Linked DNA regions of Rattus norvegicus. The protein of the gene in region 1 purifies or fractionates together with the protein of each later gene. This does not show direct contact. Links are inferred from orthologs where the notes say so. Each region holds a gene or a part of one and is shown on either strand. Other genes may lie near its edges. The genes, in order: Ptpn1 and Abcd3.

Region 1 (3,813 bases):
TCAACTGTGGCGTTCTCAGGAATTCTGAGCCCTGTGCACAGTATGGCTTCATCCTGTGGTGAGCAGAACTTGCTGTTGTAGGCGCCAGTGCCCAGGCACCAGGGTACAAGCCACCTCCCACGGCAATCTCACCTTGACACCACTTAACACAGTTCCAAGGGAAAAGTCAGTTTCTTGCCTGAGAGTGGTTTGCTCTGCCTGTGGGATTTGGGGACATCTGCTTATTGAGGGAGACATTTCAGAGCAGCACCAAAGGCTTGTCTGTTTCATGGCAGTGAGGGCAGGAGAGCCTAGGCTTTGTTTGGGGTTGGAACTTTTAGAGGGTGGTTGATTGTATTAAGATAAGGTCTCAATAGTAGCCCAAGCTGGCCTCACATTTCCAGTCCGTCAGCCTCTGCCTCTGCAGTGCTGGGGTTATAGACAGGAGGCCTACTCAAGGTTTCCACTTGAGCCCCTTTCTGGGCCCTAGAACTGAGTCCTTGTAGAGGGAAGGGAAGCAGGGGGGACGTGGTAGGAGAGCCCACACTCTTTAGGTAAATACGACTGTTCTTGCATGCTTTCTTCTAAGCCGGTTTTTAAAGTATATGTGAGGCACCTCCCGCCTTGCACCCAATACAGGTAGTGTTTGGTTTTGCAGGGAGGTGGGCAGAGCTGCTTCAGGGTCTCCAGATGGATGGTCCTTCAGCTGCGTACAACATCCTGGATCTAAGCCACACTGAAAGGGTGGCCATGTCTTTGATGTGTGTTTGTCCCACAGCAGGGACCTTCTGTACTTTGCAGAAAGATAGCAACTTGGTATCAGCAAGTCAAGCCTTCAGTGTCTGTATCCCACTCTTTGTCTGGCACAACCTGCTGGCCCTCTCTGCAGCCCTGGGACCCTGCCCTCTGAGGTCTGCAGTTGGCCTCCTTTAATAATCCTGACCATGGAGGTGGTGGGATAGCTCATATATAAAGGTGCTTGCCAGTAACCCTGCAAGTTACCATCTGATCATTCAACATGCGGTACCCCTGACCCCCAGCAAATAGTTTTTAAAATATCAGACCATCTAGGAAAGAACAGAGCACCAGAGGCCATTCTTTTTTTTTTTTTTTTTTTTCCAGAGCTGTGGACCGAATCCAGGGCCTTGCGCTTGCTAGGCAAATGCTCTACCACTGAGCTAAATCCCCAACCCCCCAGAGGCCATTCTTTTTGTTCAGCTCCAGGGGCGCTGTGGGACAGCTATGGGAATGGGTATGGTCCTTGAGGTGAATGATGGTGTGGAGAACTCACCAGCAGTCTGGCCTCTGGAGTCACAGCTGATGCTTCACCTGTATGACAGCCACCTTACTGGCAAACCTGTCTTTGGAGACTTTTCTTGAAAAGTAACACTTGTCTGACCCATCCCAGTGTTCTCCCTGGGCCAGCCAGACCTGGTGCACATCCCAATCCCCGCCCCACCCCACCCTGCTGTACCTCTTCCCACACACGCACATAAACACAGGAAGGCTCTCTGAGATTTAAGATGCCAGTGGCATCATGGCGACTTTCCAGCTGAAACTATTGTGGCCACATGTGTGAATGTAGAAGGAACAGTAGGGTAAGAGGATTGTCCACTGCTTAAGGCTGTGGACAGATCCAGCCATACCCACTGAGGAAGGCTGGGCAGGAAGCGACTTGGTGCAAACATGGGGTCTGTGTAGATAATGCACTCAGTCTAACAGCATGTGTCTCTCTCTTTCAGACCCAGGAGGCTCGAGAGATCCTGCATTTCCACTACACCACCTGGCCTGACTTTGGAGTCCCTGAGTCACCTGCCTCTTTCCTCAATTTCCTATTCAAAGTCCGAGAGTCAGGCTCACTCAGCCCAGAGCACGGCCCCATTGTGGTCCACTGCAGTGCTGGCATTGGCAGGTCAGGGACCTTCTGCCTGGCTGACACCTGCCTCTTACTGGTAAGGAGGGATTTGCAAGCCTAGGAAGAGAGGAAACGTGCTTGAACCCACCCTTTTAGCTAGAGTTCCTGTTGCTGTCCACAGACCCCCTTCCTTGGAGGGCACCCTGCTGTGGTCTTTGATGCCAGCAGTTTCCATTGATGGTGGTTGAGCCCCTTCTAGCTTTGTCCATGGGGTTCTCCCAGTTGTTACAGGAGCCAGGTACCCTAGAACCCCCATGCAGGAGCTGAGCACCCTGGTTGTCAGAGAAGCCAGGTACCCCAGTTGACACAGGAGCCGGGTGCCCTAGAACCCCCATGATTCTTCTCTAAACTCGTCCAGCTCAGGCCCAAACGGTCCCAAGTCTGCTATGTTTCTCTCCCATTTCCCTGAGACCCTCCACCACCCACCCCTCTGTGGCTTTCTTCTGGCTGACCCAGTGTCCCTGGCTTGCAGATGGACAAGAGGAAAGACCCGTCCTCTGTGGACATCAAGAAAGTGCTGTTGGAGATGCGCAGGTTCCGCATGGGGCTCATCCAGACGGCCGACCAACTGCGCTTCTCCTACCTGGCTGTGATCGAGGGTGCAAAGTTCATCATGGGCGACTCGTCAGTGCAGGTCAGTGCAACTCTGCTTCAAGAGTTGGTTGGTTTTGGGCCTGGTTCCTAGCTGGGGATAGACCACAGAGCCTGTGCGTGCTCACCAGGACTACTCTGGGAAAGAAACTCCAGTTTAAAAGGTCCCATGCTGTCGAGGTCATAAGAAATGGCTCCCCTTCCTTAATGTCTGCCATTGCTCGAGTCATTAAACAACTGCTCCCTTCTGCCTGCCTTATTCATGCTCTGCAGAGCCCTGAGAGGAAGAGTGGGCTTGACCTTCTAAAGACCATGCCTTGTGCAGTCTGTGGGTCTTCAGAGGTGGAGGCACCACCAGTCCTGGGCCTGCCTGGCTACCCGAGACCCTAGCCCAAAAAGAGCACATTTACCTTCTCAATATTTGCCTGGGCCAAGGAGCCCAGAGCTGCTGCTGAGCTGTTGCCTGCTCACCAGGACGGACCCAGGGCTGGCATTAATGGGGCTTCTGCTGCCTTCTAAGGATCAGTGGAAGGAGCTTTCCCATGAAGACCTGGAGCCTCCCCCTGAGCACGTGCCCCCACCTCCCCGGCCACCCAAACGCACATTGGAGCCTCACAATGGCAAGTGCAAGGAGCTCTTCTCCAACCACCAGTGGGTGAGCGAGGAGAGCTGTGAGGATGAGGACATCCTGGCCAGAGAGGAAAGCAGAGCCCCCTCAATTGCTGTGCACAGCATGAGCAGGTAATGGGGGGCCTGGCTTGTGGGACAGGGTGAGAGGAAGCAGCTTGTCCAGAATCACATGAAGGCATTGAAAACTTTACAAGAGATGCTTCTGCATGCATGAGAAGTGGTGTTGCCTCTGTCCAACCAAGCTCCCATTGCCCCTGAATAGGGTCCTGTGAAATGACTGACAGGTTATAATGGGGTACCTGTGCTCCTAGTGGTGTTTGTCTGACTTGTTCAGTGTCGGAACAAAGGAGGTCGGGGTCGGATTGCAGCTTGCTCGCCTCACCCCGATGCAAGCATTGTTGAGCACCCAAGCTGTCTGAGGCGTCCTTGGGTAATATCGGAATGGACCCTGAATCCATGCTGCAGACCCTCCAGTGTGGGGATAGGACAAGCTCATGGCATTGTGTGGTAGAGCGAGATGACAAGAAAAAGTATGTGCCCAGGGGTTGGGGATTTAGCTCAGTGGTAGAGCGCTTGCCTAGCAAGCACAAGGCCCTGGGTTCGGTCCCCAGCTCCGAAAAAAAGAAAAATAAATAAAATTTAAAAAAAGAAAGTATGTGCCTGCAGGAAGTGGCACTGTGGTGACCCCAGTAGAAGTA
Region 2 (3,813 bases), on another chromosome or scaffold:
TTCTATGGGTTTCATTGATAGCATCATTGCCAAATGTAAGTATGTTTTAAAAGAGATGGTGTAACATGATTCGTGGGAAAAGTGAAATAACAGTGGGTAACATCTTAACCGCTGTTGCAGATATTGCCACTGTAGTTGGGTACCTGGTTGTCAGTCGCCCGTTCCTAGACCTGGCGCATCCGCGACACCTTCACAGCACCCACTCAGAGCTGCTGGAGGTAAGGTGCTTACACTGATGAAGACAACTCAGAGTTAAGGCTGTGCTCTGATTCAGAAATGTAAGCACAATCTAATACTCATTTGTCTTTAAGGATTACTACCAAAGTGGAAGAATGCTTTTGAGAATGTCTCAAGCTTTGGGGCGGATAGTTTTGGCTGGGCGTGAAATGACTAGATTGGCTGGGTAAGATATGCACTAATAATGCAACTGCATAGAACGGTTTTAAACGTGTGTTGTTCTTACATTGCTGGTACTCAGTTGACATTAAAACTGTGGGAGGTACTGACTCCTCCTACTCTAGGAAGCTGGTTTTGATAGAGAATGAGGGACGACTTCTCTCAGTGAGCTTCCCCTGCTTTCTGGAGGCAGCTGTGTGACTCTTAACTGGATTGGCGCCCTGTTCGTTTGCCGCCCTTCACGGACACCGGCCCTGGATAAGTTGGGGAATGAGGATACTTGGCAGCCTTCTTCTTTTATAGAAATTTAGTTAGTGAGTAGAAGTTTTACATAGAATATTTTTGCTGTCCACTATAGACTTTTACCCCCTAAGCATTTATACTAGCAATTGGGTTCTTTTTTTCCTCTTTTCTCCTACTCCCCCCCCCCCAAGCATTTTATTAAGGAGTGATTGGTGTATTAAAAAAATCATACTTGATGTGTACAAAATTCACGACTAAGGGACAAGTGTGTGTCTGTGAAACTGCCAACACGGAGTATACATGCACCGAGCACCGCCCACGGTCTCCTCTGGGACAGTCTGCTTCCTACACCAAGCTGGCGAACATTAACCCCCATTTGCTTCTCTGATGAGAAACCTTCCCTTTGACCTTCATGTCCTTCTTAACTCTCCAACTCCTGGTTCCTGGTCTGGTTTCTGTTGTCCAGTGAGAGCAGAGATGGTCTCAGTTTCCCCTTTGTGGAGAAGTAGTATGCATCAGTGCATACTTCTCTCTGAGGGAACGGCCAGTCTTATATGTGACTGCAGGTCCCTCCGTGGCTGCAGTGTGTACTAACAAGAACACGTGCTAGTGACCAAGGGAAATACGTGTCTTGCCTCTGGATGGGTGCTGTTGAGACGAGGATCCTGTGAAACTCCCTCCTCATTTCCCTGTCCCCTCTCTTTTGCTGAAGCAAAGTAGGATGTGTGTTAGTAATACTTTATGCTGAGGAGACGACCTTTAGGTTAGGTCTCTTAAGCTAAGCTACAATTTTAGACATTTCAGTTTATATACAAGATATAATAGCCTAGACTTTTGATTATGGTTTCTGTTAAATTTTAGTTTTACGGCTCGGATTACGGAATTAATGCAAGTACTAAAGGATTTAAATCATGGCAAATATGAACGTACAATGGTGTCACAACAGGATAAGGGTAAATATGACAATCATGGTTTGCAGTCATGATTTTAGGTCTGTCCTAATGTATAATATCTTAATAATTATTTCCGTTCAGGTATTGAAGGAGCACAAGCTAGTCCCTTGATACCTGGTGCTGGAGAAATCATCAATGCAGACAACATTATAAAGTACGTACTAGCCAAAGGCTCTGCTGCGCGCCGCACATTGATTATGCTTCATGGCAGCTTCTCTGCAGCTTGTAGTTGCATGTGCGACTTACAGTTGTCCTTCAAAAACTTTAAATAGCCTTGGTATGTCATTGATTTAAAAGGTTTGAGTATATACCTATACACACTTACGTATGTATAATTTGATGTTTGATATCACCTACGTATTGTAAAATAATGTCCCTGTTTCAGCTAATTATTGTCTTTTATTTCCATACCTGAGTGTGTGTGTGTGTGTGTGTGTGTGATTTCCTGTGTGTAGAGTGTATTTTTAACCATTGTTCCTGTGCTGCTGCTTAGACCTCGAACTCACTCATCTCCTTCATAAACCTGAGTGGCACCGCCTTCATTTCCCTGTTCCTCCACCCCAGCAACTCCTTCTCCATATGAGTTACATATGAACTACGCTTCTCTCTCTCAGTTCTTACCAGAGTGCTCTGTCATCAAAAAGAGAAATAGTTCAGTTCTTTTAAAAACATGTTTGTGGTGTAAAAAGTTTAAAACAAATTTTTACTCATGTGCTTGTGTGTGTTCCTGCTTATATGTGTGTGCACCATGTGTGTGCAGGTGTGTGTGGAGGCAGAAAAGGGCATTGGATCTCCTGCAGCTGGAGTTACACAGATTCTGAACCTGATGGTTGCTGGGCTCTCTGCAAGAGCAGCAGGGGCTCCTACCCGCAGAGCCATCTCTTCAGCACTCCAGATTCAGGTTTTTCTGTTTTCAAGGCTGAATAATACTCCCTTGTGAGAGCGTGTGCTTACACATACGATATATTCTTTATTCTTTTATCAGTTGAGAGACATTAAGGGAGTTTCCCCAGTTGGTTTGCTGAATAAAACCTGCAGTGAGTGTGGGGGTGCAGATACCACTGTGCGGCACCCGCTTATTTCCTATGGACAGCCACCTGCAATTAGGAGTGCAGTCTGAAGCATTAGGGCAGTGAGGCTAAGCGAGGAGCCTCCACATTGCTTTCCTGTCAGCGCGCTGACAGGGTTCAGGGCTCCTCTTCCTGCCTCTGCATCTGCCTGCACTCGCCTGCACTCGCCTGCACTTGCCTTTGTCTCTAGAAGCCAGGGAGGACTGACGCTCACTGCAGTTTTCATCTGCGTTTCTGTGCTGGGTAGAGATCTGGAGAGCCTTTTCAGTTGCATTTTGTGCCTGAATGTATGCTTTTAGCAAGTGCCTGAATGGTCTTTTGCTCTGTTGGGTTATTTCTATTTGGTGTATTAATTATTTAAGTTCCTTACATGTTTTAATTTCCTCTTTTCTATTAATGTCCTTTCTAGGTTTGATCATGTTCCTTTAGCAACACCAAATGGAGATATCTTGATCCAAGACCTTAGTTTTGAAGTAAGTTTTAAAAATGTTGATGACTTTAAATCATCTTCAAAATATGAATTGAAAATTGAATATTTCAATTAACTTTGAATTATCTCTATAAATCCATATAATCACATTTGAGACTCTCTTTGACATCTAGAAATCTCATTTTCTTAAAATGGACTGGCCTTCAAATCTCAGTGATTACTAGCACGTCAAGTTGATTTTGTTGGCGATATGCTCAGGAGCTAGGAGACGTCACAAAGGAACCAGCTTTTGTTCCTAGCACCCTCGTGTTGGCCATTCTCTCTCATCCTCTTTCTCTTTGCATTTTACTTATGTATTGTGTGTTGTTTGGGGGTGAAGCACGTGTCACACTGAGTGTGTCAGTCAGAACACAAATTGAGTGAGTTGTTCTCTTCTACTGTGGCTCCAGGGGTTAAACTCAGGTCATCAGGCTTGGCAGGGAGCGTCTGCCACTGACCCATATCACTAGCCCTGAACAATTCACAGCACAGTTGCACCTAGTGTAGCCATCCCAAGTAGGATATCAGCCAAATAAACAGTGTGTTTTCCTAACTAACAGCTGACATGATAGGTCATGGGAGCATGAAAAGGCAACCTTGACTATGTTCCGTGTGATTTGTATCTTGAATTTTGAGGATTACTGTTAGGTTATTTGTGCCCACTGGCACACTTCTGAAAATC

The links.
Region 2: the proteins of Ptpn1 (region 1) and Abcd3 purify together in Homo sapiens (affinity purification with mass spectrometry; 3 studies listed by BioGRID and IntAct, with this or other methods). This does not show direct contact. The link is inferred for Rattus norvegicus from reciprocal best matches to the Homo sapiens genes PTPN1 and ABCD3.

The regions. Positions count from the first base shown.
Region 1 is NC_086021.1:177,099,224-177,103,036, forward strand, and holds part of Ptpn1 (tyrosine-protein phosphatase non-receptor type 1), read left to right. Parts: intron 1-1,721; coding exon 1,722-1,931; intron 1,932-2,366; coding exon 2,367-2,528; intron 2,529-2,959; coding exon of another isoform or gene 2,960-3,004; exon of another isoform or gene 3,005-3,005; coding exon 3,006-3,226; intron 3,227-3,813. UniProt on the Homo sapiens protein: Tyrosine-protein phosphatase which acts as a regulator of endoplasmic reticulum unfolded protein response. Mediates dephosphorylation of EIF2AK3/PERK; inactivating the protein kinase activity of EIF2AK3/PERK.
Region 2 is NC_086020.1:212,548,712-212,552,524, reverse strand, and holds part of Abcd3 (ATP-binding cassette sub-family D member 3), read left to right. Parts: coding exon 1-35; intron 36-120; coding exon 121-218; intron 219-311; coding exon 312-403; intron 404-1,500; coding exon 1,501-1,592; intron 1,593-1,673; coding exon 1,674-1,746; intron 1,747-3,071; coding exon 3,072-3,135; intron 3,136-3,813. UniProt on the Homo sapiens protein: Broad substrate specificity ATP-dependent transporter of the ATP-binding cassette (ABC) family that catalyzes the transport of long-chain fatty acids (LCFA)-CoA, dicarboxylic acids-CoA, long-branched-chain fatty acids-CoA and bile acids from the cytosol to the peroxisome lumen for beta-oxydation.